Linked DNA regions of Xenopus tropicalis. The protein of the gene in region 1 interacts with the protein of each later gene in a biochemical or structural test. Links are inferred from orthologs where the notes say so. Each region holds a gene or a part of one and is shown in the gene's direction. Other genes may lie near its edges.

Evidence for each region.
Region 2: the proteins of nf2 (region 1) and amot form a complex in vitro, tested with the Homo sapiens proteins (2 studies listed by BioGRID and IntAct). The link is inferred for Xenopus tropicalis from reciprocal best matches to the Homo sapiens genes NF2 and AMOT.
Region 3: the proteins of nf2 (region 1) and slc9a3r1 form a complex in vitro, tested with the Homo sapiens proteins (2 studies listed by BioGRID). The link is inferred for Xenopus tropicalis from reciprocal best matches to the Homo sapiens genes NF2 and NHERF1.

Annotation. Positions count from the first base shown.
Region 1 is NC_030677.2:144,757,887-144,768,698, reverse strand, and holds the end of nf2 (merlin), read left to right. Parts: intron 1-177; coding exon 178-283; intron 284-3,148; coding exon 3,149-3,288; intron 3,289-4,948; coding exon 4,949-5,096; intron 5,097-5,491; coding exon 5,492-5,515; 3' UTR 5,516-5,538; intron 5,539-8,873; coding exon of another isoform or gene 8,874-8,924; 3' UTR 8,925-9,651; downstream 9,652-10,812. UniProt on the Homo sapiens protein: Probable regulator of the Hippo/SWH (Sav/Wts/Hpo) signaling pathway, a signaling pathway that plays a pivotal role in tumor suppression by restricting proliferation and promoting apoptosis.
Region 2 is NC_030684.2:52,196,561-52,207,472, reverse strand, and holds the start of amot (angiomotin), read left to right. Parts: upstream 1-6,117; 5' UTR 6,118-6,286; intron 6,287-10,912.
Region 3 is NC_030686.2:43,960,912-43,971,723, forward strand, and holds part of slc9a3r1 (Na(+)/H(+) exchange regulatory cofactor NHE-RF1), read left to right. Parts: intron 1-3,578; coding exon 3,579-3,614; intron 3,615-4,375; coding exon 4,376-4,537; intron 4,538-5,357; coding exon 5,358-5,511; intron 5,512-9,618; coding exon 9,619-9,659; intron 9,660-9,742; coding exon 9,743-9,838; intron 9,839-10,639; coding exon 10,640-10,812. UniProt on the Homo sapiens protein: Scaffold protein that connects plasma membrane proteins with members of the ezrin/moesin/radixin family and thereby helps to link them to the actin cytoskeleton and to regulate their surface expression. Necessary for recycling of internalized ADRB2.

The DNA of each region.
Region 1 (10,812 bases):
ACCCATAGGTGGGGATATCGGGTAAAGATCCGCTTGCTTGGCAACCTCGCCAAGCGAGCGAATCTTCATGTGTATGGGCACCAGGTACAAATGTGCCCAATTTTGATAAATGAGCCCCTGTATGCTTCTTTTTGAACTAAGTTGTTTTAACTGCTTTCATTCTCTCGTGTTGTTTAGAGTTAAGGAAGCTGAGCAACTCAAGCAAGACTTGCAAGAGGCTCGGGATTCAGAACGTCGAGCTAAGCAAAAGCTTCTAGAGATATCTAGTAAAACCTCCTATATGGTGAGCTGTCTAAATAGCAGTAACCTTCCCGTTCATGTGATTTGAATCAGATGTCTATATCTCATAAATAGAAAAGAGCTGGAGGCCCCTAATTAGGCAAATAGTTCTGACAACATGTAAAGGGAGCGTAGGTCACTGTTGCTGGAGACTTCATAACAAACTCTTTTGAAGTTTAGGAGAACATGCAGTCTGTCTAAATTATTTGCTATTATGCTCCTCCTCTCTGCACCGTGAGATTTGAGCTGTCTGGTTGCAATGTTCAGTAAATTTACATACCAGTGTACAGGCTTATTCATATCAGGTGGGAAGTGCCATATATTGGCCAGAATGAGTAGATCAAACGAGAGGAATAGCAGCCACTTCCTCATATGAGGATGCACATTTCGGCTTACAAGTTGGTGCAGTGACAGGTAAAATTATCATTTGGCAAGACAATTGCAATCTAATTGTGATCTGTACATTTTTTCACCCCAGATGACATACATGTGCATACAGTCAGGTATTATGATCAGCAGTTTTCTGTTTTTAATAGAGCAGGTGACGGTGGTATGAACTCCTGCCTCAACCCAACTGTATGTTAAACTAGATAACTGTATTTAGCAAGGCAGTTTAAAGAGGACCTGTCACACAGACACACAAAGCTGTATGATAAAAATCCTTTTAAAATTATGTATTAAATTCAAATTCCTTTATGAACACATCCATACCCATTATAAAGCTATTTAAAAATCCCAGCTGTCAATTAGTCACATATAGTGCCTGCCTCACGGGGCGGGGCAACACTTACTTTTACTTTCAACTCTGCACTGTCCATGATGTCACTGCAGTTCTTACTTACCCCCTCCTTACTATCTAATTCTGTAGCCAGTGTTTGGGCATGTGCATGTTGTCCCTCCCCCCATTCTGGCACATAAACAAGATTTCGGGGTGATAAAAAGCTTGTCTTAATAACAGTGCCACAAAATGGCAACTGCTTGCTTGCTGTGATTGTGAATTCCAAGACTGAAGGAAACAAGATTTAAATAATTTTTATAGTGTAAATCCTCTTTAAGGGTTATATCATACATTGCAATTCTCAGCGTAGCCTTAATATGTGGTGTTTTTAAAACCTTTATATTGGTCAACATAAAACTGCCCAGCACTAATTTGAAACCTGTAAAAAAAACTGAAGTATTTCAATGGGATGTTTTGTAGATGATTTTATTCCTTATTCCCCCATAAAACTTTCTTTAATAGTGTTACTTATATATAACATTAAGAAGTGGGTTTATGAAGTTTGTATTTATGTTACCCATCCTGGGCATTCAGTAGGATATAGAAGCTGTTTGTCAGTTTTCAGTACATAATGATTTAATTGTATCTATTCTTAAATGAAAACTGTCATAGGAAACCTAAAACATATTTCACTTATGCCTAGCTTTGGGTCCAGAAGTGTAAGAAAACATACAGCAACAGCACAATAATAAAAGAGCTACATATGGATCTGCATCACTGATATCAAAACCAGGGCTGTGGAGTCGGTAGATAAATACTTCGACTCCTCAGTTTCTGATACTTCCGACTCCGACTCCTCTGTTTTTAATATGCTAATGTATTTTATACATTCATTGAAGGAAAGGAAGGAGACATACATGTCATTTAACCACAGAACTACTGGCTTTGCATTGGGCTTTACTCTAGCAGAGAAGTAATTAATTATGACTGTTTGTGAATTGGGACATTTAAACTTGCTTTATTTATTTTTTTTATTCGTATTTAAATTTAGTAGGAGTCGGTTAATTTTTTTCCGACTCCAGGTACCCAAAATTGCCTCCGACTCCTCGACTCCGACTCCACAGCCCTGATCAAAACATGTATTGTACATGCCCTGTGTGTCTGTGCATGACTTGCTGGCCACGTTTGAGGAAACAGACACATATTTTATTCCTACAGGTGGTGGAATTCACTATGTTATGATTACTATGTAAATGTAACACCTAAACTGGTGTCATATCATCTGGAATTCTTCTTAAAACTATTCATTTTTTGGCAGCAAGCTATTTAATTAACCTGTTACGTGCTGGCTTGCAGAAGTGCAAGCTGGATTCCCATGAAATACAAAAGTGTAGAATAATAATGTAGAATCTACATCACCTGAAATATGTCATGTAAATGTCAAGACTGCATATTTTAAAGGGTTAATTCAGAATCACAAAAATTTGCTGTTTGTAGTGCTAGGCATAATTTTATCCTGGGTGTTCCTGTGATTAGGTGTGCACCTCTTCCCAGGCAGAATTCCTTGAGTGATAGCAAATAGCCACCCAAAAAAAGAGATTACATAAACTTTAGTAGATCACGTAAACCATTAATAGCTAAACTTTCTGTAATTAACAGTAAGTAATAATAATATATAAATAATAATGCTAGCATATCTACTTCAGAGCCCACTCCAGGCTCAAATGCAATCTTGACTCTGCTCAGGGGCAGTGGAAAAACATGCTTTGGCCAGGTATATCTCAAACTGATATGGCGTAAGAGGGGTTCGTTACCTCCAGCTCCCTTTCATATTTGATGGAGGTTTGATTAAAGACAGGCTCAGTCATAAAACACACACTGCAAAAAGGGAGTGTTTTCCAAACTTTGTAGAATGGAAGGTATTTACTTTTTTTAAACAGCAGTTTGACTGTTCCATTATATTATCACTACCTTGCAAAGGAAATATGACCTTTAGTATTTAGCACAAAGTAATTTTTAGAAATTCAGCCCAGGTATCAAAACAAGGACACTTCATGTTTTGCTATATATTTTGTCAGACTTGAACTTTGCAATTACTGTTCCAAGAATATGCATGGAATTCATCTAAATCTAAACTATGTCATTCCACAGCAAGCAGCAGGGGCCGCCAGCAGCAGCAGCACTGTGCCACCTACAGATGTGCCAAGCTTCAGCATGCTCAGTGATAGTCTACCCTACGATTTCAAGGACACAGATATGAAGCGTCTGTCCATGGAAATTGAAAAGGAGAAGTGAGCAAATGGAAAAAGAAATTCACTTAATAGTTAGGACCTTGTTATAGGGGTTGTTCACCTTTAAATGATCTTTTATTAAGATGTAAACAATGATATTCTGAGGCAATTTGCATTTGGTTTTCATTTTTTTATTTGTGTTTTTTGTTATTTAGCTTTTTCTTCAACAGCTCTCCAGTTTGGAATTTCAGTAGCTATCTGGTTGCTTGGTTCTTGTTTACTTTAGCAACCAGGCAGTGGTTTCAATGAGAGACTAAAATATGAATAGGAGGGGGCCTGCATTAATAACATTGTAAGCTCACAGAGCAATAGGTTTTTAGGTGTCTGGGTCAGTGACCCTCATTTGCTGCAAAGATGTAGAAGAGGAATGCAAATAATTCAAGGACTTGGAAAAAAAAATGAAGACCAATTTCTAGGTATAGGACAGTCTATAATTATTCTATAAATTATATATTAAAAGCTAACTTAAAGGTGAGCCGCACTTTAAGTATGAACAGAAATTCGTATAATGGAATATAACAGAGTTACAGATAATGAAGGTCATTATGTTGCACACCTAATAAATTATCACTTGTATTATAAGCTGTATTACAGACATCCAGTTGCAGTATTAAATAAACGTGCACATAGGAAATTTGTTCTTGGGCATAGAACATTTTATGGAAAATTTACTATAATGTTTTCCACAGCAGGTAAAAAATCTAGATATTTTATATTTGGAAAGCCCCATTCAGTACTGTAAACATTTGAACAAAAGCTATTGAGAGGGGAAAAACATTTTCAGACTTTTCAGATAATTTTACTTATTGTAACACCAAAACCAGATGTACTAGTCCTACTGTAAATATACATCTATTGAACTTACTGAAATTTTGCCAAATATAAAGTACTATTAAATAAAATATTGTCTACACTGGACTGGTTAGGGTGGCATAGCTGCCACTGACACAGCACTTCTAAATCCTTTATAGATAGTTTTTAAAAGGGCCTAATATCCTGGAATCCTATGCTTATAAAGAACCCCCCTCCATATTATCCACACAACCTGCTCTTAACTTCCAATTAAATATTTCCCTACTTCAGGGTGCAGATTTGTCAATATTCTCCTGTTGAATTTTTCACCACAGACCAAAATCGTTAGTAAAATGCCTTGGCTGCAGTGTTCTGCAAAAGGAGGGGGTGGAATCAAATAAATGAGGAAATCCAAAACTTAGTACTGCAGTACAACAAACAGGGGTTGCATAATAGAAATAAACATTTTCCATGCATCCTCTAAACCAGTTATGCCCATTTTCACAGGATGAGTCACATGTTAGAGCAGCACTTTTATCCTGTTTAAACTTGTGTGTGCTTCTGTTAAATCTGCATGGGTCTGTAAGCATGTCAGTAAACTGATTTCTTTCTGCTTATTAGGAATGAAGTCTCCAGCTTACAACACCAAGTGTGTAGTTTTGTTGGACTTATCCTGGACTAAGAATGCACACATAAGGAAACCCTATGAATATACATGCTTCATTCCCATTTGTTTTAGTTGCTTAGTCCATGGGTCTTTTTGTTTGTGTCATTCAGGGCATGGAGTTCCAATTTCACATCTGTGGTACTAACTTTAAAGGATAATCTGAAGTAAGTAAGGGCTCTCTGACTTTTATTTGTTTCTCAGGGTTGAGTACATGGAGAAGAGTCGCCACTTACAGGAACAGCTGAATGAGCTCAAGACAGAAATAGAGTCCTTAAAACTGAAGGAAAGAGAAAGTGCCATGGATATAATGCATGAGAATGCAGGCAGCAAACAGAACACAATTAAAAAGGTGAGTCTGCATACAGTGCGTGCACAGATACACAAGGCAGTTCAAATGCACTTGGATTCATGCAAAAAATGTGCACAAATGGGAAAGAAAGCAGGGCAAACAGATTTACAGGGTAATGAAAGAACAGCATATTTGTACATATGTAGTTGGGGAAAGGACTCACAGATTTATAAAAGGTAAACACAGATATGAAAAAGTTTAAATATAGTAATGTGTGTGCTATAAAGAATTATTATGTGTGCTTAGGTGGAGAGTTATTATGGGCAGTACTCACACACATGCATGGAGAGCTGAGACCATGTGCAAGCATTAAGCGTAAGGAAGAGGTGTGGTACTCTGGTCCCTGTCAGTTAACTGTGTTCAAATATTCTGGCATTTTTCTTTTCTTCTGTTAGGCGAGGAGAGCTGTCTGCATCTGAGCGTGATCCATAGTGTGTGCCAGGTATTGTGAGCGTGTGTGTACCACTAACACAGTCTGTGTAACACTAATTTTTGTGTGTATGTGTGCATAACCCATTCCAAACAAAATCAGGATGCCTTTTTTTCTATGTGTTGAGTGTTGCGCTGCACTGATGTGATTTAGGAACACTTTAGTGGTTATGGTGTAGTGACGTTTCTGGTGCAAGACTCTAAAATGTCTTATCTGTTATTTTCCAGTTAGTCCATTATTCAGTACTATTAATGGGGTGCTGTGTCATTCTTTACTTGTATGACAACATTGTGCTGAGCCCACATCATCCATCCTTTAGAGCTGATGCTGTAAAGTACATCTGTCGATACACCCTTTTTCTATCAAGTGTCCTGCTATATATATATATATATATATATATATACATACATCCTGATGACGATCCTGTGGTGATCGAAACGTGTAGATGGTATGCTGAAATAAATCACTGACCTGATTGATGCTGTAGCTGTGAGTGCTTTCTACTGTTGAGTTTGATATATATATATAGTAGAAAGAGTGCCGCACACACAGGGACTTGATACAAAAGAAAAAGTGGTTTTATTGAAAAAATTCCAACGTTTCGAGCACAATCTGTATACCGTATATATATATATATATATATGCATTCTAAATGTCAGTTATGGAGTGGTCCGTATACTGCTAAAGTCCAGTTAGGTGTTGGAGGTGTGACCGTAGTCTGCACTCCAGGATTTGTTAACGGAAATTCATACTTATTTACAAACACAGGTACTAAGGCTGATGTCCCATGAGGAAATGTAGTCGTCCGCAGTTCAACTAATCTCTTATTGTACAGCACTGCAGAATATGTTGGTGCTTTATAAATAAATGATAATAATAATCTCTCCAAAATGCCTTTCCACTGACAATACAACAATATAAATCGCTGGTAGAAATGCCTACGCATCAGTTTGGTTTTCCAAAATCACACAAAGTTTCCTCCTGCAGACAAGTTTGCATGACTTCAGAAAGTCAATGCTATGTGTAGGCCATTCCACCTGTAATTCGTGATGTTGCCAGTGGAAAGGCATTTTGGAGAGATTAGTTAACCACGACAGAAGAGATCTATCGCAGGTGACTGTATCTTTCCAAGGGACATAAGCCTAAATAGCAAAAAGTATATTTGCCCATAGTTACCAATCAGCTTTTAATTTTGATTAGGCTTTAACCAGATTAAACATGAAATTAACAATCTCATTGGTTGCTATGCGCTAAGTTGCAGTTTAGCACCTATGTTAGTAAATCCGCACCATTACATTTTATTTGTTTAAACTTGCTGCTCACAACTTTCTCTGCGATTGATCCCTATGCTTCCCATCTTATCAGATCCTGCAGCATTCAGTGCTTACATTCTCTATAAGAAGTTCTCCAGAAAATGCCCCCTCATATTCTTAATGATTTAATCTTCTGCATAACATTTTAGGGACTGTGATTTCTTTTCCTTGAATTCCTTGTGTATTATAGTATTAAAGGAAGTGTTAATTAATCTAAGTTCAGTATTCCCTGCAGTCTTAACTGTAATTTACTGAATATGGAACTAATTGCAGTAAACCCCTAATAATATGGGTACTTGCGGCTGAATGTCAAGAGATAAGTGATGATCTAAAAATTTGATGAATTCCCCCTCCCATCATTCGCAGGGGTTTCCTTTCTCCCACAGCTACATCTCTCCTCCTACCACCCCCTGATTCTCACACATGAGGTGTTCTATTTTCTGAGGGAAGCCAGCCGCCCCGCATCACCCTTAATTGGATGCGAGAGCTAAGCCGGTCGGCAGAGAGAATGGGGGCAGCCAGAGGCAGCCCTAGGGAATCCCCCTCCCTGCCTGCAGTGCTCTGCCTGCAATATGCATCAGAGCGGAAACTTAGCAGAGTTTGTCTGTGTTCCAGTTGCCTGTTATAACTCCACTAAAAATCTGTCACATGTTTTCCTAGTGCTGAAGATCCCTGCAAATAAAGACTGTTGCACACTTGAAAAGAACAAGTGCTGTGGATATACTGAAGAAAACCATATGCACAACATTAGAACCTTTGTTTACACACACACACACATAGTCACAAACCTTTATTCCTAACTGTATATTCTGTACAGTTGGCATGCATCATCAGTGGGATGAAACATAAAACAGTAGCCCTTTGAAAGGATTGCTAATATTGTTGCTTTGCAAGTTGTGTGTGTCGTCCCCATTTGTGCATGATGTCAATAGGTTGCAATATTCATGTGGAATTTCAGGTAGCACTTGTAAGGTCTGCTTGGATGAGGAGGTTCTAGTGCACTTATAGCACCCCAAATATGGTAGTAGTTGCAGCAACTACTTTATTTTTTGTGCTGTGAAATTACTCTTAAAGATTTTATACTACAGTGTTCAGTCCATAATTTTATGTTTCTAAAACAATGCATTCCAGTTGTTTTAGGTGTTTTTGGTTAAGGCCTTGATGTATACTGTGACAAGCTTTTGAGGATAGACTAAACTGTTTTCATCTGTCAGCAGTCCTTGTTAACTGTGGCACTGTCGGATCTGCCTGGTCCAGTACAGCAAAATGTTTGTACAATCCATACCCTGGCTTCCTAAGTGTATATGTAACAGCTGTTGCTTTCAAGGTGTTCCTTTGCTGGTCCTTAGTATTATTATTATTCTGCATGTGTCCAGGCCAGGTCTGTGTAGCGCTGGACCCAATCTCACATTGTCTAGGCCAGCTGTGGTACTTCCACCCTGGCAATGCCTATGTCAGCCCTAATGATTCTAGGGTTATTATATGTGTGTCAGTACCCAAAGCTTACTCTGTGGAAGCCTGGGAAGCCCTGCTTGCATTATATAAACGATCATGATAAGCCACAGAGAAGAAATAATTTATAGAATGTAAAGAAATAAACACATTTTGTTACTCTGTTTTTGAGTTTGTTATTAAGTAGTCTTTATTTAGGCAGGTTTAATTTCAGCATCAAAAAAAAAAAGGCCTGGGAGTCAAAGGCTAATATGAATGTGAGGGTAGGAGCTTTGTATGTGTGCAGTGTGTAATGCATAAGCTGCATTCTTGGGGCTATGAACTGAATTATTTAGCATGAAGTCACTACTGTACTCAAACACGTTGGCCATGTGGTTTAGCCACACACTGGGGACAATGTGTCTGCTATTACAGTTTTTGCAGCTTGTGCTCTGAATTGCAGTGCAGCAGAAGAATACAGGGAGTAAAAGTGATAAAAGAAAGCGTAAATGTAGGCATTCCTGATAGATAACAGTTTAATAAGAGTATTAATTGCTGCTGATGGCAATGCTTCCTTTAACCTCTCTTTTTGTCTCTTCTCAGCTCACCCTTCAAAGCACACAGTGCAGAGTGGCTTTCTTTGAAGAACTCTAAGACGTTACCAGGGTGCTCCAGACAGCTATAGCCTCCCCAAGGACATAAAGATTCCCAGACAACTCTTCACAATTAGAGGGGTCAATATGCAGTGCTACCGTTTATCTTTACACTGGGAAACAAGGGGCACCCTCAGATATGTCTCCATTAAATTCTAATATTAAAACTGCTGCTTCCCTTTTGCTTCATCGTAAGCTAATTAAGGGATAGTGCTTTGCCACATAGTCTGCTAGAACTGGGAAATTGCAAAAATATTTTTTTCAGGAAACTCAAGTATGTTTTTATTTGTTCTAAAGGGGAAATTTTTTGAAAAAAAATACATTATACTCAATACTCAATACTGTTTTTATGTATAAGAATTTTTCCCTTTGCCTATACTTTTGGTCCTTAATGCAGTTTTTGGAAGGACTATGACATGCTTCTTGAATCAGCATTTTAACCAGTTGCATACCCACTTGGCATGAGTAATGTCTTCCCAATCTGTGACACTACAAGAAAGAAGGGAGTTATTTGGAGAGTGGCCTTGAAGTTGTACTGACTAATTCAGTTTGCGCTGCTGAATTTAAAAAAAAAACTGCAGTATTTTTATATGTATATTTTATATATTATATATATCATTTTTTGTCCATGTTTACACTCTTGAGATTCAAGAACTGAAGGGTGGCTTCAGTTATGTGTCTTGTTTTCAATATGGTTTTTAAGTAAAAAAGAGAAATCTAAAACAAAACGAGTTTACGTGGCTTTTTTTTGTGGGAAAGGGTGAGCAAAGAATGTATAAAATGTTCATGATTTCACTCTTCAATGACTCGACTGGTATATTTAGCAAAAGCAGTTACACACACACACACACACACACATTCATGCCCCGCTTATTAAACTTGGCAGAGACCCCAACCTGTCAGTCTGGAGAGAGTGCAGCACCCGTCTCATAGTGGAAGCGCTCCATAGCAACAGCGCGTTCCTCAACAGCTACAGTAACCCCATTAATATACTGGACAGCCCTCTTGTGTACAATTCTCAATCTGCATGCAGCGCCACACTTTGGGGACCCAAGGCAGTATAATTTAACTGGTTTCAGCCAGGTCCACGTACCAGCCTTTCTGTCCATGCGTTTTGGAGGCGATGTCAGGTAAAGTGAGGTGCACAGTCCGGGGGTACCTGCTGCTACGGTATTGTGCTCGTGCAGAGTATATGCGTGTCCCCCGTGGGGCCTCCATAGGACCAGGACTCGGCCGCGTCAGCTAACCTTATACTGTTTTTTTAGTCAGTAGGACTATGCACTTGTTTTTAACCACATTTCCCTAATTGCATGGGTCCCTGTGTATATAGTTAAGCTGGGTATTTTTTATCCTGAGTACAGGGCTTCTCCTCCAGTCTTATGACTGATGGGAGAGCATGGGATTGGGTGAGGGCTACAGGTTTTACCTATTTATATGGAGATTTTAAGTGTACATATGGTCTTGACAATGGTCTTAGGAGGAGACCGAAACGTTGGCCCTGATACATTTTTAAAATGACTTAAATAAAAGAATTTTGACTTTTATTTTAAAAGGTTCCTGGAGTGCACCTGTTTTTTCCTGATTATATATATATATATATATATATATATATATATATATATATATATATATATAATCAGTAAATATTGCCCTTTTACATGTTTTATCTTGAGCCACCATTTAGTGATGGGCTGTGTGCTCCCTCAGAGATCACATGACCAGAAATAATGCAGCTCTAACTAACGGGGAAGAAGTGTGGAAGCAAAAGGCAAAACTCTGTCTATTCATTGGCTGATGTGGCCTAGCATGTATGTGTGCCTTGGTTTGTTTGTCTGCACTGTGAATCCTATCCCAGGAGGGAATTCTTAAAATGGCATCAGTGCACTGCC
Region 2 (10,912 bases), on another chromosome or scaffold:
AGAGACAGCTGAAATGGGTATGATGAATGGAGTAAAGAAGAAAATGCCATCACTTACTTGTATTTCCTTCTATATGCTCAGCAATCTGCCATCTTGAGATGATCTATAGTAAAAAAAAAAGTTATCTTTAGTGAACAGTCCTGAAACTGCTTAGCTTATCTTAACAATGGCTTATGTGTTTGTTATATAAAATGGAGATCAGAGATCATCCTTAGTCCTCTCACAACCTTGTTCTCACCCTGATGAGCCTGGAATGTTGCACTTAGTAGCTCTTGGTACATTGGTGGATTATGTGACTAATGGAGTTATACTGGTGTTTTCACCAAAACTGAAGTTAATTTGACTTTACATTGTCAAGACCAAGTCTAGAAGCTGTCTACCAAATAGGAAAATTCTGCTGTATCAATCCAATAAAGGCAAAGCCCTATAACGAAAATTGTAAACTTCCAGGGAGACCCTTTGCCAACAGCAAACATTTAAAGGGGTGGTTCACCTTTAAGTTAACTTTAAATACGTTATAGAATGTCATATTGCAAGCAACTTTTCAATTGGTTTTCATTTGTTTGTTTTACAGTTTAATTATTTGCCTTTCTTTTCTGCCTCTTTCTAGTTTTGAGATGAGGGTCACTGACCCCAACTGACAAATAAACCTATTGTTCTGTGGGTCTACAATTTTATTGTAATTTTTACTTTTTATTTCTTATCTTCCCAATTAGTCCTTTGCCTATTCATATATCAGTCTTTCATTCAAATCACAGCCTGGTTGCTAGGGTAAATAAGCCTTTAACAACCAGATAGCTGCTGAAATACCAGACTGGAGAGCTGCAGAATAAAAAGCTAAATAACTGGAAAACCACAAACAAAAAAATGGAAACCAATTGCCAATTGTCTCAGGATATCAATATCTTACTAAAAGTTGAACCACCACTTTAAATATCATCATAAATAACTTCAACTTGCAACTTACACTACTGACCTTGTACTTTGCACCATATACTCATGGCAAATTGGCATAATTATTAAAATTCTGTTTGGGGGTTGAGCATTCTTTAGGCATTTCCTGTCTCTTGAATATTATTTTTAGAGGTGTCTTTTAGGTGTTTTTAGATCTGTCAAGTGTGTGATCTGTTTTCAACCCTTAATAAACATGCCCTTAACAATTAAAATGTGAATTAACAGCTGCAGAGTTCCCCACTGGTAACCACAGAGAGACATTTTCTTTTGATACAGACTAATAGTAATTGCTGATGGTGCCCTCCACTTAGTACCTTTCTCACACCCTATTGTACACCGTGCTGCTTTATTTGTAGGGATGCACACACCCCAGTTTACAGCGTAGCAGGCATGAGCTAAACTTGCTCAGCATATATATGTGAAGTTAAGCCTGCTTGACAGAGAAAGCCATGGTTATTGATGTTCTGAGAAACATTGTGCTTAGCCATGGAATTTCTCAGGCTGTCACAGTTCTGCAGCTTCTCCCCCTATCTCTCCCCTTTCCAGCTATTGTACTTGTACTTGATTAACCTCTTTGCGCCAGCACAATGCAAAACCAAGTCCCCTGCTCCTCCTATGCAAGTGGAGCTGGACAGGATGGCAAAGGGCAGAGCACACTCTGCAGGAAGTCCCCAAGGAAATGGACATTTTAAAGGGCCTGCTTAGAATCACTCAGTGAAATAAATCATATTCATCAGGAGACACAGATCACTGCCCTTTACATTCCAGACATTCATTGTTTTAAGTCCATCTATCACTAACTACACCCACTACAGGCTGCAGCACAGGGGAGCTCCAGGGGCACACAGGGAGCAGGATACAAGCGACTGTTTGATAAGAGCACTAAATCTAGGGGAGAAAAACAAAGCATCATTACAAGGGCAATGCAATTATTACAACAGTATGAGCACTTTGGGAAGGGTGTATGTGCCTTTTATAAGAGATCACACTGCGGACAAAGTAGAGGAACAAAGAAAGTAATGTAGAAGATGCATTTGCCAATGGTCTCGTAACCCAAGCTACCAGTCAGCAGGTAGCATTTATTACTGGTCACCTCTTTGAAAGCAAACACCTGCCTATTTGCTATGGGTTACTAGAACAGTAGCAAACTTTATGCTTACCTATGAAATCAGGCCATTATTTTACTCCACTCTAGTATAAACCATTGAGGGAAAATGCAGGGGTCAATTAATTTCTTGATTTTACATGGTATACCATGGTAAAAAGTATGTTGATACTATTTTTTATACGCCTTGATAAATATGCCCTAGAGTGGATTTTTTTTTTATTTATTTTCAAATACTGGCAGTTATGTACTGTGAGTGAGGCCACAAAAAACCATAATAAGCTTTCTGACTTAACAGCAACAGGTGGCACATCCAAAGGCTTTTTGCAAAAATAGAGTTCCTGCAGTAAATTGTAGCCCAGGGATCACAGATAATTATAAGGTTACAAAATAAAGCTGCTAGCTGGTGGAAGCAGAGCAGTATTGTTTTATGGCATATATATATATATATATATATATATGTATATATATATATATATACCCCCGTTGCAAAATATAAGGATGAGGGGGAAGGCAATATTAGTGAGTCATGTGACAAAAATAGCATCACTAAGCAACTATTATAATTTACAGGATAATTTTGACTCTTTTGTACTCAATATACATAAAAATATAGAGGATTCTGAATAAGAGCTCTATATTATATATATGCGTGGGAATGCGGGCCAGCGTTGAAGAGTGCAGAGAAAGCAGCGCCATGCACCAAGGGTAAAATATGACCCATGACCTCTACAGCATCTGGCACTAGAAAGTGGCAGCTGGGAAGGTGTTGGCTGTCAGTACCTTGCACTGCTGGTGAGATACAACAACTCAGCTCTATAATCATCCCCCAATGCTGTCAAAAGAGGATCTTTTTTTCCAACAATTGTGTCATGGACCAGCACCAAGTCTTCAGGGATCTCAAAGAACCTCTGGTCTAATGCAACTATTGTAATGTTTCCTTTCCATTGGGTCACACAGCAGGACAGATTTGGATTTCTACCATGGGTTTCTGCCCTAGTGCAAATTTGGCCAGTGTTTATAAACTACCTCCACTCTTATTTATAATAATGTTAACATTTGGCTTTATACATTATAATATAACAATATGTTATACCGAATAACAATGTTTATTGTAAATAATAAGGGTAGAGACTTTAGGGCTTGGAACTAGGGACAGGCAGAATAGGTACATGCTTAAAGAGATACTGACGCCAGAAATGAAACCCTTTTTACAACTGTTATAACATTGTCTTTGCATGCTCTTTATAATTTTGCCATAAATGTATTTGCCCAATACTTTTACATTACCTAGCTAATCCCCATGTTCCTCTATGAGGGGGCTGCTATATTTGTGCAGCAGGAGTCCCTTAGCATTAGAAGCTATAACTGACAGGTTGAGACGGGACAGTCAGGCTGGCAAAACAGTCAGGTTTAGGATCTTCAAGTAGCAATTACTTACAAAAGCAGCCCTATCAGTAAAAAATAAGAAACATGACCTATAGGTAACTTTTTTTCTGTTTTTTTTCTGTTTTATGATTGAACAATATCCTTCATTATGGTTAACAGGAGTCCATCCTGGCTTACTCTAACTTATTGTACCAGAAATCATGATCAGGAGGGGCCTGTGGGTGAGCAACAAAACTATGTAGTTAATATCATTTTATTTGTCAAAAGTCATTACAAAGTTGTTCAAATAGTTATAAATTGCGTTAAAGTATGCCATCTATGTTAATCAGTGCTTAATGATGTCACTTGTGTTACACTGTTCTTGTTTATTATAACAAACAACCTATCCCTTATGTTAAAGAAGCTACCAGCACTCAGCATGGCCTCTATAACTCTATAACTTGTAACCTTAGAGCTGTTACATCATTACCTATATAAATTAAATATAAAATATATATTTATATAATAAATTGATATATCATTTGTGGCTTTAACTATAGCCTTGGAAAATGTCTTTCTTAAACTGATCATAATGAAAATAAATAAATAATAATAAAAAAAAACTTGCTTCAAGTCTAGTAAGAACCATCTGCTGCTTTTCCAAAGCACCTATTGACAGCTTTCCCGGGTCTATGAAAGATAAATAAATAGGGCTTCTAAGTTTTACCAAATACAAAGGGATGCTAGAAAAAAATATGTGGTGCATGATTTTGCCAATATTTTTACCATGCCACACCTACATTTTTAAGCATTTACAAAAAAAATGCAAGAAGCTGGAATTTTTAGACTTTTAGACTTGAGTGAAACCAGGACACAAAGAGACAAAACTGAGACATATAGTGCCCCAACACCAAACTCTCTGGGAAACAGTTTAAAAAAAAAGGGACATATGGGAGCTCCATAAAAGATATTTCATGCAAATAGTATACAGAATATGGGCAGGCTAACATATCCCACCGCTTTGCAGATCTGCACAAGCTGCAGGTCAGAGGCCCCACTCTGCAAGTCAATCCCATATCCTGTTTAGGAAGCTAAGGAAATGCTTATCTGTTAATATTGATGGTGAAAGAACTTTTTTGATTATTAAAGGAACATTTATATTTAAAGGGACAAAATATTGACAAAAGATTGTTTTCAGCATGCTGTCTAAAAAAAGATTACTCCCATAACCAAGAAATGCTTTGTTCAGAAAGTATTTCTTTATTAACCAAGTATAACAGCCTAAAGGCTTCTGTACTTCCTGTTTTTTTGCTGCAAGTGTACTGGTTTTCAGCCAGAAACCTGTAAATGGCTTAAAATGAACCCCTTATTTATGCCTTCATCTTGTTTATGTTAACTGAGTGTGGCCTTTATAATGGGTGTGGTTTGCTTAAATTGTTTCTATGACACTCTCTAATTATATTTTTCCCCTTCCTTCTTTCACCTATTTTAAATATAAAAATCTGAGAGCCCTGTACAATGTTATATGACTGTTACCACTGTGAAACCTAACTAGTATAAAAGCAAGACCATGTAATACAGGCACGGACTGGCAATATATGGATTCCGGCAAATGCCAGAGGGGCTGCTGCAAGATGCCAAATAAACAGTCACTATTTATAGGGCTAATGGAGGGCTGTTTGGGCCTCTGTGTGTTTGAAATGCCTGGGCTTATTTTGAATCCCAGTCCTAACCCAATGATGCTGAATCATCGCGTGTGAGTCCTACCCGAAGGCATGGGTAGGTCCAACGTCACCGAAGCTAGGGTGAGACCCACCAGGTCGTTGGAGTCTCCTTCGCCTTGCAAGTTTTGGCCTGGGGTCAAGCCCAATTGACTATGACACCCATCCAGGGTGCAACAGGGCCAGAACTAGAGGTAGGCAGTACAGGCAGGTACCAAGAGGGGCAACTATTTCACACACAGCAGCACACTAGTTCAAAGGCTCATTTTCATGGGGGCCATCCAGGGGCCTATAAAAGCTGTTCTCTGTCAGTCAGCAGTATATCGCCTGTGTATGGGGCCCTCAGAGGAGCCTACCCAACCGATATCTGCCTGATGCAAGTTAAAAATCCAGCCAGGAGGATGAGCATGTTGGTGCATTGTTGCTGGCCTCATCTCAACAGCCTGTATCCTGGCATTTAGTGAGAATCTTTCGGTGTATTGCCACCTTAATTCCAGATCCTTGTCTCTCCTCCCCACCCTGTTACCTTACCTGGTCTTTGCCCATCTCTAACTCTACTACATAGGGGTAATGGTGTATTAAAAGCATTTGGGGAGATAGACCCTTGCCTTGAGTGCCAAGATACTTGCTACAGGTCTTGTAACGCAAACATGCAGGTAAATGATCCGTCAGCAAGATACCCTATGTCCTTATGCCCTATGAACTTTGCCAAGCTTCCAAGTACTAATTTATAATGCACAATAAAATAAGGCAGATAGCCCCAAACAGTGGGTAGCCAGCCAGTGTGATCTAATTCTCCTCACATTCTCCGACAGCGTATAACTCAAGAGAGCTTTGTTGTAAGAATTGTGTTGCTGAGTTACTTCCCAGCGCTGGAAGGGTTACTAAACCTTGCCCTGAATAAACCTTGGAAGCACAAAAGGCTCCTGTGTGTTCCGGAGTGGCAGCCCAAATGGCCAATGGGACACGGACAAGAGGAGGCGTGCTAGCCAATCGGCAGGAGCGGGCGGTGACAGCGCGGTGACTGAGGCTGGCAGAGTGTGTTGGGCTGCCGTGAGGGACTGGAGGGCTGTGCTGTATGTGTCGGAAGGATATCTATCGGCGGGACCGGAGAAAGGAGAAGCTAGGCGCTCTCACAGTAAGTGCGCACTTATGGAGTTAGCAGTGGATTGTAGCTGCCACGCCGCTGCCTTTTGCTCTAATTATTGGTTTACGCGCTCTTGTTGTTCCGCCGTCCCTGGCAATACACAATTGTATGTATGTATTTATGTAGAACTTTACCGATATATCGCTATTAGCCTACCATACCCAGTGCTATACAGTATACTGTATAGAAAAGTGCTCAAGGGTGCAAGCATTTTATACCTACAGGTTAAACTGCAGCTGTTCTGTACCATTTGTAATGCCCACATCCAGTTCATATTTTCATGTTCGTACCTCTGTACAGTTTACTGTGTGCCCTTAGTCATGGGCACTTACTGGCACCCCTATGCTATAATATTTATATGTCCAAGTTTACGAGAACCTAATGGCATACCATAACCTGCTGTAATGTAACCGTGCCCTGCACTGTGGGCACCAGTTCCCACCTCATACTGTAATGTTGGTGTGTGCCAGGCAAGGGTACCAGTTGGCACACTAGTAACATGCAGCATTACTGCTGTACCCTGCGCAGGAGTCTCTAATTCCTTTCTGTTATACATACATCTTGTTACATCCTGTGTCTTGGCTCAGCCTGTCTATGTGGGATCTTTCATCCTGTAACCATGCTGTATTCCAGGGTATGGGCACCTACTGGCACCTATTCCTTGCTCTAGTACTGGTGTGTCCTTGTGTAGGCACCTACTGGCACACAGTTCCATCCTGTAATACTGATGTGCCCCAGTGTGTAGGCACCATACTAGCACACAGTTCCATCCTGTAATACTGATGTGCTCCAGTGTATAGGCACCTACTGTCACACAGTTCCATCCTGTAATACTGATGTGCTCCAGTGTGTAGGCACCTACTAGCACACAGTTCCATCCTGTAATACTGATGTGCCCCAGTGTGTAGGCACCTACTAGCACACAGTTCCATCCTGTAATACTGATGTGCCCCAGTGTGTAGGCACCTACTAGCACACAGTTCCATCCTGATAATACTGATGTGCTCCAGTGTGTAGGCACCATACTGGCATACAGTTCCATCCTGTAATACTGATGTGCTCCAGTGTGTAGGCACCTACTGGCACACAGTTCCATCCTGTAATACTGATGTGCTCCAGTGTGTAGGCACCTACTAGCACACAGTTCCATCCTGTAATACTGATGTGCCCCAGTGTGTAGGCACCTACTAGCACACAGTTCCATCCTGATAATACTGATGTGCTCCAGTGTGTAGGCACCATACTGGCATACAGTTCCATCCTGTAATACTGATGTGCTCCAGTGTGTAGGCACCTACTGGCACACAGTTCCATCCTGTAATACTGATGTGCTCCAGTGTGTAGGCACCTACTAGCACACAGTTCCATCCTGTAATACTGATGTGCCCCAGTGTGTAGGCACCTACTAGCACACAGTTCCATCCTGATAATACTGATGTGCTCCAGTGTGTAGGCACCATACTGGCACACAGTTCCATCCTGTAATACTGATGTGCTCCAGTGTGTAGGCACCTACTGGCACACAGTTCCATCCTGTAATACTGATGTGCTCCAGTGTGTAGGCACCTGCTGGCCCCCATTCCATCCTGTAATACTGATGTGCCCCAGTGTGTAGGCACTTACTAGCACACAGTTCCATCCTGTAATACTGATGTGCTCCAGTGTGTAGGCACCTACTGTCACACAGTTCCATCCTGTAATACTGATGTGCCCCAGTGTGTAGGCACCTACTAGCACACAGTTCCATCCTGAAAATACTGATGTGCTCCAGTGTGTAGGCACCATACTAGCACACAGTTCCATCCTGTAATACTGATGTGCTCCAGTGTGTAGGCACCTACTGGCACACAGTTCCATCCTGTAATACTGATGTGCTCCAGTGTGTAGGCACCTACTGGCCCCCATTCCATCCTGTAATACTGATGTGCCCCAGTGTGTAGGCACCTACTAGCACACAGTTCCATCCTGTAATACTGATGTGCTCCAGTGTGTAGGCACCTACTGGCCCCCATTCCATCCTGTAATACTGATGTGTCCCAGTGTGTAGGCACCTACTGGCCCCCATTCCATCCTGTAATATTACATTCTCACAGTGTGTGGGCACCTACTGGCTCCCATTCCATCCTGTAATACTGATGTGCCCCAGTGTGTAGGCACCTACTGGCCCCCATTCCATCCTGTAATACTGATGTGCCCCAGTGTGTAGGCACCTACTGGCCCCAGTTCCCGCATGTAATACTAAATTCTCCCAGTGTGTGGGCACCTACTGGCCTCTATTCCATCCTGTAATACTGATTTGTCCAATTGTGAGAGCACCTACTGGTCCCCATTCTATCCTGTAGTGCTGATTTGTCCAAGTGTGTGGGCATCTACTGGCAATCCATTCCATCCTGTAATACTAAATTCTTAGTGTGTGAGCACCTACTGGCCCCCATTCCATCCTGTAATACTGATTTGTCCAATTGTGTGAGTACCTACTGGTCCCCATTCTATCCTGTAGTACTGATTTGTCCAAGTGTGTGGGCACCTACTGACAATCCATTCCATCCTGTAATACTAAATTCTCACAGTGTATGAGCACCTACTGGCCCCCATCCTATCCTGTAATACCAAATTCTCACAGTGTGTGAGCGCCTACTGGCCCCCATTTCATCCTGTAATACTGATTTGTCCAAGTGTGTGAGTACCTACTGGTCCCCATTCTATCCTGTATTACAGATTTGTCCAATTGTGTGGGCACCTACTGGCAATCCATTCCATCCTGTAATACTAAATTCTCACAGTGTGTGGGCACCTACTGGCAATCCATTCCATCCTGTAATACTAAATTCTCACAGTGTGTGGGCACCTACTGGCAATCCATTCCATCCTGTAATACTAATTTCTCCCAGTGTGTGAGTACCTGCTGGCCCCCATTCCATCCTGTAATACTAATTTCTCCCAGTGTGTGAGTACCTGCTGGCCCCCATTCCATCCTGTAATACTAATTTCTCCCAGTGTGTGGGCAACTACAGGCACCACATTCCATCCTATATCACTGATGTGTTCCAGTGTGTGGGCACCTAGTGTCACCCCATCCCATGCTGTAATACTGATGTGTCCCAGTGTATGGACATCTACTGGAACCGACTCCATTCCATGCTCTAATACAGTGTGTCCCATTGTGTGGGCACCTACCTGCACCCCATTCAGGATGTATTATTAAAGTGCCTTAGTACATTAGGATTAATGTAACAGGTTTTCCCATAGATATATTGAACAGTACTAATGCCTGTATCTCAGTGCCAGTTGAAGGGGACTGGAAAATAAAATGAGAACAGGGTGGCAGCAGTCATGTTAAATAAAGGGTAACCAAAGCTCTTAAAAGCATAAAATCACATGTATGCAGAACTGTATCTTCTATCAGGATTTGGGAGCTCTCTGGGGGTGCAGGGCTTATTGTAGACAGCAACAGGGTTCAGATCCATCCTCTTTATTAAAATCAACTGCGGTTCCTGCATCATGTGGTATGTCCTTATGTGCTCCAGTAAACCACAGTCGTGGGCTGTGAGGCAGCAGGCCAGGTGTCTGTCGGGACTACTCAGTTAGGCACCTTAGGATGGAACGCTGTCCTTACTAGCTGTGCTTTATACACAGGGGGAGAACAAGTTTGGGGATCTTATAGACTTTTGTATTGGCCAGTTGGTTTAATCCTTCATATTTAAAATACTTTGTTTAACACACTTTAAAAAAAACCCAAAAAATCTGATTAATATTAATGTTAAGGATGGTCTACAGTTAACTAAACTGCATTGAACATTTTTAATGGATTTTACCAGTTTTAAGGTCATACTAAATTAATGAATTGTTTAATATGCATTGGTAAGTCCCTGATGTGGATGTTGTCACTGTATGTTTTGCATATTTCTTGCTGCCATTATTAGTCATAGCTTTTGAATTTGTATCTAGTTTGGGAGTTGCTGGCAAATAAAGTGGCATACCTGTATTAAATCTGCACTGAGAACCCAGCAGCTCATTTGAATAGAGATATATTGAGTCTATGCCATAGTGATGTTAGGTATGTGAGTCATTTCATTGGCTCGCCTTGCTATGCACCTGTCTCAAAATGAAATTCAGCCACCTGCTCAGAATGCTCTCTCCTCCCTCTCCCCGTCACTCACCCCCAGCCACCGTTCCCAAACAAGAGGAAGGGAGGAGTCGGCTTTGGCAGGGAGGGTTCCTACGTGGCTGGAGACCTGGGTGGGAACTTGACATTCCTGTCTCCAGGAAACCGCAGTACCAGCAAAGGCATGCCGGGAGTAGCACTCCGTTCTATTATTCATTGTCTCTCAGCAACATGTTGCTGGTAAAGTCAGGATAATTCCATACAAGCGTGACTGTTAAACTCAGTTTTGTATGCAGCTTTTTGTGTGTGCACGCAAGTTTTTTATACTAATAAAGTGTAAGAAGATACATGTAGAGTTTGTGCAGGAGTTAAAAGACCAAAAAGTTTGCTTTATAAGAAAATGTAATTCTAAGAAACTTTTTAATTTACTTTTCAATGGGTGTAAACTTATTTATAATTTCAGTTGACAGACCTTTCTGCACTGCTGGTTTTCTCTGTTGAAACAATGTAGC
Region 3 (10,812 bases), on another chromosome or scaffold:
TCCTACCCCTGCTAAGTGATGCCATGCAGTGCCAGGGTATATACTGCTCTTGCTAGAGTTTCTAATGCTGAACTTGTGTTTGCATAGTGGATAATGTACCCCCTATTGTAAAATATAAGGATATTATAAGTCAGAGAGGAGTTCCTTATAATATATAGTGACTAAAGTACCCCCTATTGTAACATATAGGGATATTATAAGTCCCTGAGGAGTTCCTTATAATATATAGTGAATAAAGTACCCCCTATTGTAACATATATGGATTTTATAAGCCCCTGAGGAGTTCCTTATAATATATAGTGAATAAAGTACCCCCTATTGTAACATATAGGGATATTATAAGTCACAGAGGGGTTCCTTATAATATATAGTGAATAAAGTCCCCCCTATTGTAACATAGGGATATTATAAGTCACAGAGGGGTTCCTTATAATATATGGTGAATAAAGTACCCCCTATTGTAACATATAGGGATTTTATAAGTCACAGAGGGGTTCCTTATAATATATAGTGAATAATGTACCCCCTATTGGAACATATAGGGATATTATAAGTCACAGAGGAGTTCCTTATATAGTGAATAAAGTACCCCCTATTGTAACATATAGGGATTTTATAAGTCACAGAGGGGTTCCTTATAATATATAGTGAATAAAGTGCCCCCTATTGTAACATATAGGGATATTATAAGTCACAGAGGAGTTCCTTATATAGTGAATAAAGTACCCCCTATTGTAACATATAGGGATTTTATAAGTCACAGAGGGGTTCCTTATAATATATAGTGAATAAAGTGCCCCCTATTGTAACATATAGGGATTTTATAAGTCACAGAGGGGTTCCTTATAATATATAGTGAATAATGTACCCCCTATTGGAACATATAGGGATATTATAAGTCACAGAGGAGTTCCTTATAATATATAGTGAATAATGTACCCCCCTATTGTAAAATATAAGGATATTATAAGTCACAGAGGAGTTCCTTTACTATATAAAAGCATGAGCTGAAGGCTGACTTGTAATATCCTCATATTTTACAACAGGGGGCACTTTATTATAATATCCAAGTTTTAGTGATTTGTGTGACAGAAATTACATCACTGAGCTCTGATTATAACTGATGACATCACTAGGCACCGTTTATAAGGATCCCATAGGGGAGTGATCAAACTGTAAATTATAAAGATATAATCAAAGAGCCATGATTTCCTGTAAAATGGGTTCTTCTACGTGGTGCATAGTGATGTCATCAGTTATCTTTAATTTTAATGATGTAATTTGTCATATGACTCACTGTGTCTATAAAAACCGTACCACTATTATATAATATGATATTAGAAGTCACCATTTGTTCCATGACCAATAGAACGCCTTGTGGTTTTAGACTGGTCATGGAATGCCAACAACCATTGACCTCATGTCCTTATATCAGTGATCCTCAACCAGTGGCTCAGGGGCAACTTGTTGCTCCCCAACCCCTTGGATGTTGCTCCCAGTGGCCTTCAAACAGGGGCTTATTTTTGAATTCCTGGCTTGGGGGCAAGTTTTGGAGGCATAAAAAACAGGTGTACTGCCAAACAGAGCCTCCTGTAAGCTGCCAGTCCATATAGGGGCTACCAAATAGCCAATCACAGCCCTTATTTGGCACCCCTAGGAACAGGTTTCATGCTCGTGTTGCTCCCCAAGTCTTTTTACATTTGAATGTGGCTCACAGGTAAAAAAGGTTTGGGACACCTGCCTTATATGGATCTCTTTAACTTTTAATATCCTTATAATTTACAATTGGGGGTACGCTATTCTCCGTTTAGTGGATCGGCCACACACGGCAGCCAAGCTGATGATGGATGCCGCTGTCATTAGTGGGAAGCAAACTATGGGCCAGAGAGTAATCGGGACCCCACAGGGTATAAGTTCCAGGAAAGGCTTCTAGGAAGGGACTTTATAACAGAGGCTCGGCTGTCTCGGCACAACTATTCTAGATACAAAGTCAGTTGCAGCTCAACAAGCTTTTTGCCCCTGGGCCTTGCCAGCACTAAAGACAGCCCTGGCATGGCACCGCTCCAGTCTGGTGTGGCAGCTTCAGCTGGGTACCTGAGTGCCTCAGTTGCCTGGCATGAATCCTAGACTTGGGTATTTAATTCTTTCTATAGAGAAGGGTATATAGTACCCTATGTGTTGGTGGTGGTGGAGCTGTGCCATTATCCTGGATTGGCATCAATTACCAGCCTATGTACCAATCAGAACCCCCCCCCTCCTCCTCCAAGTAGAACTGACATATGTTTCTGAGTAATGCCCACTTTATCTAGACCAATGATCCCCAACCAGTGGCTTGGGGCAACATGTTGCTCCCCAACCCCTTGGGTGTTGCTCTCAGTGCCCCCAAACCAGGGAGTTATTTTTGAATTCCTGACTTGGGGGCAAGTTTTGGTTGAAATAAAAATAAGATTTCCTACCAAATAAAGCCCCTGTAAGCTGATAGGGTGCATAGAGGCCCCTAATAGCCAATCACAGCCCTTATTTGGCACCTCCATGAACTTTTATGGTGCTTGGTTGCTCCCCAAGTCTTTTTCCATTTGACTGTGGCTCATGAGTAAGAAAGGTTGGGAACCCCGGATCTAGACCATATTCTCTGTCTTTAGGCAGTGACATGCAGAGTGAGCATGACCACTGTGGTTACTCGGCTCAGTATAAAGACCCACACTAGGTAGTTAAGACTGTCACCTTGTTCCAAGTGGCAGTCACAACTGACACTTGTAATAAAAGCATTTTTCTGGCAGTCTATACAAGCCATGCCAGGGAGAGCCTTGGCAGTGCCATAGTGTCATATCATATGGAAGGTAATGGTAAGAGAACCCTTGGCTGCAAAGGTCATTGAGTTTCACTCAGTGGGTTCTAAAAGTCTCAGGGGCCCCACTTACTCATTGCCCTTTTCTGAAATAAACCAAACCTTGGCACCTGACAACAAATTGTACCTTTTTGCAAAGTTGTGCAATGATTTTGTGTAGCTGTACAGCTAACGTTCTGCTCTAGAGAGGTGTTGGCTTGAGAAAAGGTCTGTTAAAACCACCACTTTCACACCAGTTTCTTCCCTGCTTGAACGTGTTCCTTTCTCATCCAGTAGGCTATACTGGGGTCTAGGGGTGTGAAATGGAGCATTAAATAGTATATATAAATACTCTCCTGGCTCTGTCATGGATTATTTTGCACACTGAGACGCATGCCAATATTTCATATGTAACAGGGCTTTAGCTGCCCCCCCCCCACCACACTGAGTAATGACCCCGCTGTGTTGATCATGCCGCCTTCTCCCAGTTGGCAGTTGGCCAGTCGGAAGGCTAGAGGGAAGGTGGATGATCGCTGGAGGCACGAGAGACTGCAGAGGATAAATGTGGGGTACTAAGTAGTCTGGGGCCCTCCTGCATTTATGGGGCCTGCTGCATAGTAGTTACCCCAATGAGTGCAACGTTTCTAACCAGTCAATATCAGTGATTATTATAAAGGGGCAATATGGATGGCATACTGCATGTTTATGTATATATGGCTCTGATTTTTCTTTTTCTCTTCCCCTGTACTAGGCAACTGAGAAGCAACCCACCCCTGTCCTGGATAGGGTAAGTACCACTATAGTGCCCGACTATGCAAAAGGCTACAATTAATGATTTATTCCCCCTTCCCCATCCTGTTGGCCCCTCGCTGGATAGATGGCAAGTTTGCTACCAGAATGAAGTTGCGGCTGGGGGTATTTGGACAAATCTGACCATATATTGGGAATGAGGAAGGTTTGTCTGGTGTTTGGTACATTACTGTGTGAACTTCTTCTACTTGCCCCCCCGCATGTCACTCTCGCTGCGGCCTCCTCACTTCCTCTTGTTTCCCTGCCAAGCTGCTAACGAACTCTCAGCTGAGGTCCCCCCTCCCCTGCAAGAGTGCATTGTGTGCAGCATGGGGGGGTCGACTCGGTTCATATGTAGAACTAAGTCGCATTGCTGGATGCTCATTTTACTTTCGCAGTGTGGACTCAGACAATTGTAGCCTTTCTGTTTTTATACAGACTTCGTGTCCTGCTTGCACTTTCATCTACCCCCCCCCCCTTACTTTGGCACTCCCTTTTGACCGCTTTTGGCTGGGGCTTTAGAAGTCTTCATGTGCCAATTTTATGCCAACTGAGTTGGGCAGAGGGAAGGAGAGAAGATTTGTCGTGTCGAGGCATGCTGGGGGAAGGCGGAAGCAGCTAACTTATTGCTAGTAACCTGTTCTTTGCCTACTGGGGCTGGTGTGGGGGCCCACAGTTCTGGAGATGTGAGGGATGAGTTCTACCTCTCATTATAAAACTAAAGCACTGTGACTGATATCTTACCCTTGTGTCTCTCAGAAGGAGCTGCGACCCCGACTCTGCACCATAAAGAAAGGACCAAGTGGTTTCGGATTCAACCTGCACAGTGACAAGGTTCACCCAGGGCAGTTTGTACGAGCGGTGGATCCCGACTCACCAGCAGAACTTGCAGGGCTTCTACCCAAGGATCGCATTGTAGAGGTATGAGCCACACTAGTGGTAGCATGGGGTTCCGGACATAGTGGTACCCCCAGGGCAGTGATCCCCCAACCAGTGGCTCGACACTTTGCTCAGCACCCCCTTTGATGTTGCTCTGAGAGGCCCCCTACAGGCCTGCAGTCTCCACGGAGCTACCAAATAGCCAATTACAGTCCTTCAGCATCTCCAAAGTACTTTTTTTCAGGCTAGTGTGGCTCACAAACACTTTTTACAGTAAAAAAAAGATTTTTGATCCCTGCCCTAGGGAATTAAAATAGTTTAAAGACCCCCTTCCTTTCTATTTCTGCTTTTAGCTTGTCATGCCTTAATAGTAGGTGGGGCTATTTGTACTGTACTTCATGGTTCGGGGGGGGGGGAGAAGAGTTAAAACAGAAGGTGACGGCAGTTTTCTAAGCATTATATTTTTTATATAACTGATACGTTTACCCAGCATAACTACCTTTGATCTGAGGTACTGGCATTTTTTTAAAAATATAATCTGCAGGCTTCTTCAACCTTCAAGTCTATTGAAACTTTTATGCTTCCATTTGATGGTAAAAGGTGCTGGGAGTTTCAGTCAAGCGTTATCTAATAGGTAATAATTTTGATCATGTTGGTTTAACCCTTGATCATGTATTGGAGAACCAAGGCTAAAAAGCACTGTTATGGTATTGGCTGCCAGTAGCATTTAGGAAGTGATGTCACTGCAATATGGCAGCAGTTGAAAGTCTCTAACCAGGACCTGGCGATTTAATTATTTTGAAATTTCTCGGGTCAGCATAAACTTGCATTGTTATTGTGGTGGTCTTTGTATCTCTCGCAGGTTAATGGCTTAAATGTGATTGGGAAACAGCATGGCGATGTGGTGGCTGCCATCAAGGCAGGGGGAGACGAGACTTCCTTGCTTGTCTTGGACCCAGAGGCAGATTCCTACTTCAAGGAGTGCAATGTGGTTCCGGGAAAACAGCATCTGACAGGCGAGTAACCTATATTGCTTGTGTCTTTTCCTCACCCGCCTCTGCAATCTCGTTAACCAGATTATATAGATTGCACCAACACAGCTTTCTGCCTAACAGGTGGAACAGGGGAGGGCTGTGGGATTTACAGTACCTATTCCTTCTCAGTAATGCTGCACAGCAAACTATCTTTCAATAGGATTGCCATTATGTCAAAGGGATTACTTCTCTCTGTATCATTGCTTTTTATGGCATTACTGCCAACAAAGGGTTGCTGTGGAAACCTTGAGAATAATCCTAATCACGCTAATTATCTTAGTGGTTTCACCCTCCCCCTTCTTATATAATCATGCTCCTTTCCCATCACTCCTTGGTGCTGTCCATCTTAAAGGACAAACAGTTTTTTGTTATAGGCGTTTGTTACCTTTATTCTATACATCTTCAGTAAAAACATTGCCATAAAGTCTGCACGAGCCGTGGTTTATATGCTTAATTGTGCCTATTCGGATCGGCGGTATCCGCCGCGGAAGCTTTGAAGTAGGGATGCACCACATCCATAACTTTTGGGTTCAGCCAAACAGACTCTGCAATAGATCTGGATGAATGCAGAGCTCTAATTTGCACATTGCAAGCTAAGAATTGTAGCTTTACACCTACATAACTTTCTTAGGTTTGGTTTGGCTGAGTAGTTGGGGTTCCTCCAAATGGCACATACCTCTTCTGCTTGCCTTCTCCTAGTTTAGGCTTGTCTGGATTCCTGCCCATAACTTGGGGTAGGTAGAAGAGGCATGTGCCTAGGCGCAAGGGTGGGCAGAGGCACTGGGCACATACATTCTGCCTGGCTGCCCCTAGTTTTGGCTTTTCGGTAATCGCATAGGATTCCTGTGCGTGCATCTGTCGAGGTGACCGATGTCGGCAAAATCCTTGGATATCCGTAGTCTTGACTATGGACAGGATGGGAAATTTTGACTGGGCACCTTTTGAAGGTGGCCAGACATTGGCAAAAGTTAATGCTGAAATGCCAGATAAGGGTAGAATTATTATTTCTACCTGCATATCTGACAGTTCAGCTCTTAACGTTGGAGAAAATGAACAATTCTTCCTGCAACTGAAGATCATAAGGTGACAATACACATTACAATTAACTGGTGGGGAGGACTGGTGAACTTCCGGGAGTTGCCTTGGCGCTCTTATAGTTAGGCCTGGCACTGAATCGTAAGATGGCTGGCACCTTATCTGAATTATATTGTAATCTGTTAAAGGGTATAGCTGACTGGAATAAATGGCTGGAAATTGTCTGATCTGGCCATACACACAGATGGGCATAATGCCTAGTCAGCCTTCTGTTTAATCAGAATTCTGTTCAGAAAGACCAACTGCAGTATGAGAAGGATCACAAGATGGTCCATCAAAGCAGCCACTGAATAAAAGGCTGCCCAGTAAGGTTGAAATCGGCCAGCGTGCCCAATCAGATCTGTGCCTGCATGGCCACTAAGGCTCTAATAACTCTGGTTATTTCATTGTGTTGACATTTCCAATAATCCTTTGTCCGTAACATGTGACACTGAACAGGATTACATTCTTGTGTGCTATGGATTTAGAAGCTGAAATGAGCTGCCCGGGAGTTTGGGATTTCACCATGAATTTCATACTTGTACAGTGTAGCACATTGGGGATGTGGGTAATTGTAAGTCTTAAGGGTTTTAAGATAAGGAAGTGGGGGGGGGTTTAATCGACATTCTAGAAGTATCACTTCAGTGTATTAGTGCATTCAGTTGCACGCAGGCCCAAACGGAGTCAAAATAGGCCCAAGGATTCCAAGTACCCAGAGGCCCAAACAGCCCCCCCAGCTCAATAAATAGTGACTGTCTATGGCACCTTATAGCAGCCCCTCTGGCATTTGCCTGAACCCACAGATTGCCAGTCTGGGCCTGGGTCCTGGCATTCCAAGTACCCAGAGGCCCAAACAGCCCCCCCCCCCCCCAGCCCAATAAATAGTGACTATGGCACCTTACAGCAGCCCCTCTGGCATTTGCCTGAACCCAGAGATTGCCAGTCTGGGCCTGGGCCCTGGCATTCCCAGTACCCAGAGGCCCAAACAGCCCCCCCCCCCCCAGCCCAATAAATAGTGACTGTCTATGGCATTTGCCTGTACCCATAGATTGTCAGTCTGTGTGACCCAAATAGGGTTGCAGTTTCCGCTTGCCCCTATGTTTTTGGGCTAAAAAACCCTGCTAGAATGTTCCTAAGCCCCAGTCGGTGGTGGTCACAATGTCCACACTTACATTCCAGACTTAAGACATGAAATTAGCGGCTATGGAACCCCTACCGAAGTGCCCCCCCCTCGTTTTTAAATATCCAGAGACTTCATTAACTCTCCTCTGTATGCTTTTGTTTAGTGTCTCCAGGGACACAAATCCAGCCTGAGAACTCAAAGTAAACACACAGACGATTAGTATAAACTCTCGGGCTTGGCCCAGTTCCCGCTGGGTGCTGGAAGGATTGGAGACTGTTTCCCCGGTGCCTCTTTATACAACAACAATCTGCTTACACTTCCAGTGTGCAGCGCTCTCGCTTCCCTTCTCAAACCCGACTCAATGTTTATTGGGTATTTATGTTTATGTCGCAGGCGACAGTGTAAACGTATTGCTTGGTTGAGTGTGATGTAGGGCTAGTTTGTGCACCGGCTGACCCGTGCTTGTGTAAGGCTCACACAGTACAAAGGCTATGTTTGAACTGGTGTTGCCTTCCCGAGCCTTAATTACATCCAAAGGGAAAATAGCTAAGCCTTCATTCAGGGGATCTTTTTAACCTTTAAATTCAGTCATTCTATCCTGCTGTTTTTGTAGGTTTTAGCTATAATCTCCTTCTCAGAAACTTGGCCGATGTATTGTATCCAGTACCCTGCAACTGTGGGGGGGTGCTTTCTCTGCAGTACCCTCTTTTGTAATGTATAAGGATATTCTAGGTTACCAAGGAGTTCTATAACCTGTACTTGATCCCAACTAAGATATAATTACCCCTTATTGGGGGCAGAACAGCCCTATTGGGTTTATTTAATGGTTAAATGATTCCCTTTTCTCTGTAATAATAAAACAGTACCTGTACTTGATCCCAACTAAGATATAATTACCCCTTATTGGGGCAGAACAGCCCTATTGGGTTTATTTAATGGTTAAATGATTCCCTTTTCTCTGTAATAATAAAACAGTACCTGTACTTGATCCCAACTAAGATATAATTACCCCTTATTGGGGGCAGAACAGCCCTATTGGGTTTATTTAATGGTTAAATGATCCCCTTTTCTCTGTAATAATAAAATAGTACCTTGTAATTGATCCCAATTAAGATATAATCAATCCTTATTGGAGGCTAAAAGATGGAGATGCAAATTACGGAAAGATCCCTTATCCGGAAAGCCCTGGGTCCTGAGCATTCTGGATAACAGGCCCCATACCTGTACTTTTTTTTTTTTTTTTTATTATTGCAAAAAAATGTTTAGAATTATTTGCTTAAAATGGATTGACTTCCTTCTGGATAACAGGTTCCCAGATCCCATACTTATGTATTATATTGATGCTGCATGGGCCAACCCAGTGCAGCAATTTTCCAGCAGCCCCATCCACACCCTAAGGTTCCACACCCCCCCCCCCCCCCTTACGCTAGTTTATTTACTCATGGCTGTCCCTCCCCAGTGCCCCATTGTCATGTATATACCCACCCCTCTGATGTCAGAGCGCTGGGTCAGCTGGGTTTTGAGTTGTAGGGTTTGGTGCACATCACAACTCCTAATATTAAAACCTCAGCCTGGCTAGTCATTTCCTGCAGTGCTTAAGGGTGAATACACACTGGGCTACTTAGTAGCAGCTACTTGTCACGGCTACTAAACTCCAGAAAATCCCCTGCCATAGACAATACTGAGAATTGCCTCTGCTAAAACACATGTATAGACAATTATCAGTAAATGATCAGCGTTGTCTGTTTTAGTAGCCACGACATTAAGCTGCTACTAGTAGCTCTGTGTGTCTTCACCCTAAAGGTATGTACGATACAAAGAAACTGAATGCTTGGTAAATGGGATTTATTTTTATTCTGACCACTAAAATCCCAATTTGTTCTGTTTCACAGGCCCCTTACCAGAAAAGCTTGCCAATGGTGGCCTGGAGAAGGTATGTGCTTTATTCATAGTTCAATTTATTATAAGTTTCAAGTAAAAATAAGATTTCACTTATTTAACTTTTTCCTATCGCAGCTTAATAACTCAGAAGAACAGATTCACCCAGAGTCCCCTCTGTCTTCTCCAGAGCCCGCGCCGGATATGGTCACCCCAAAACTGGAAGCACAAAAGGTATTCCTTGAATGCTTGATAATAATGGCGTTCCCCGTACCCCTGTGTTGGTAAATAAGCTTGAGGCTGAGCAACAATATTTTGGCATGGCCAGTGGCTTTTTACACTGAGATCCAATATGTATTTGTTTGCTTTCTTCTTGACTTTCCAACTTAAAGGTCTTAAACCGACCCCAGCAGCTCTTTGAGCTTACAATTTCCTTAATTTTTATGACTTATTTTTCTATTCAGGTCCTCTCCTGTTTATATACCAGTCTCTCATTCAAACCACTTTTTGGTTGCTAAGGTTATTCATACCCTAGCAACGGATAACTACTGAAAATCCAAACTGGAGAGCTGCTAAACAAATCATCATAGATATTCGACTCTACCTCAGTGGTTCTCAACCTTCCTAATGCCGTGCCTCATGTTGTGGTGACCCCCCCAACCATAAAATTATTCCTAAGACCATAGGAATTATGTGTTTTCCGATGGTCTTAGGCGACCCCTGTGAAAGGGTTGTTCGGCCTCTAAAGGGGTCCTGACCCCACAGGTTGATTTAACTGTTTATATGATGTAGAGCAGCGGTTCTCAACCCCTTTACGTAACTTTTCTGCTACTAGTGCATTATTTTAAGCTTATTGGGCTTGATCAAATTCTGGACAGAAGATTGGGCCCAGGGCAAAACATTAGTAATAAGCAACTTTGTTCTGGAGCAGCCATGTTTAGTGCATTATTTAGCACATTTGCCCAGCAGTCAGTACTACTTTACCATGGAATCAGCAATGTATTTGATCTCGTATACTTGGTCTCTCTCATTCAGGACAGCTCAGAAAATACCCCCGCGCCTGCCTCAGACGCCACTTCCCCCACAGAGCCCGTCCTTGACCTGAACATGTCGCTGGCACTGGCCAAAGAGCGAGCCCACCAGAAGCGCTCACAGAAAAAAGCGCCATCTATGGACTGGAGCAAAAAGAAAGAAGTGTTCAGCAGCCT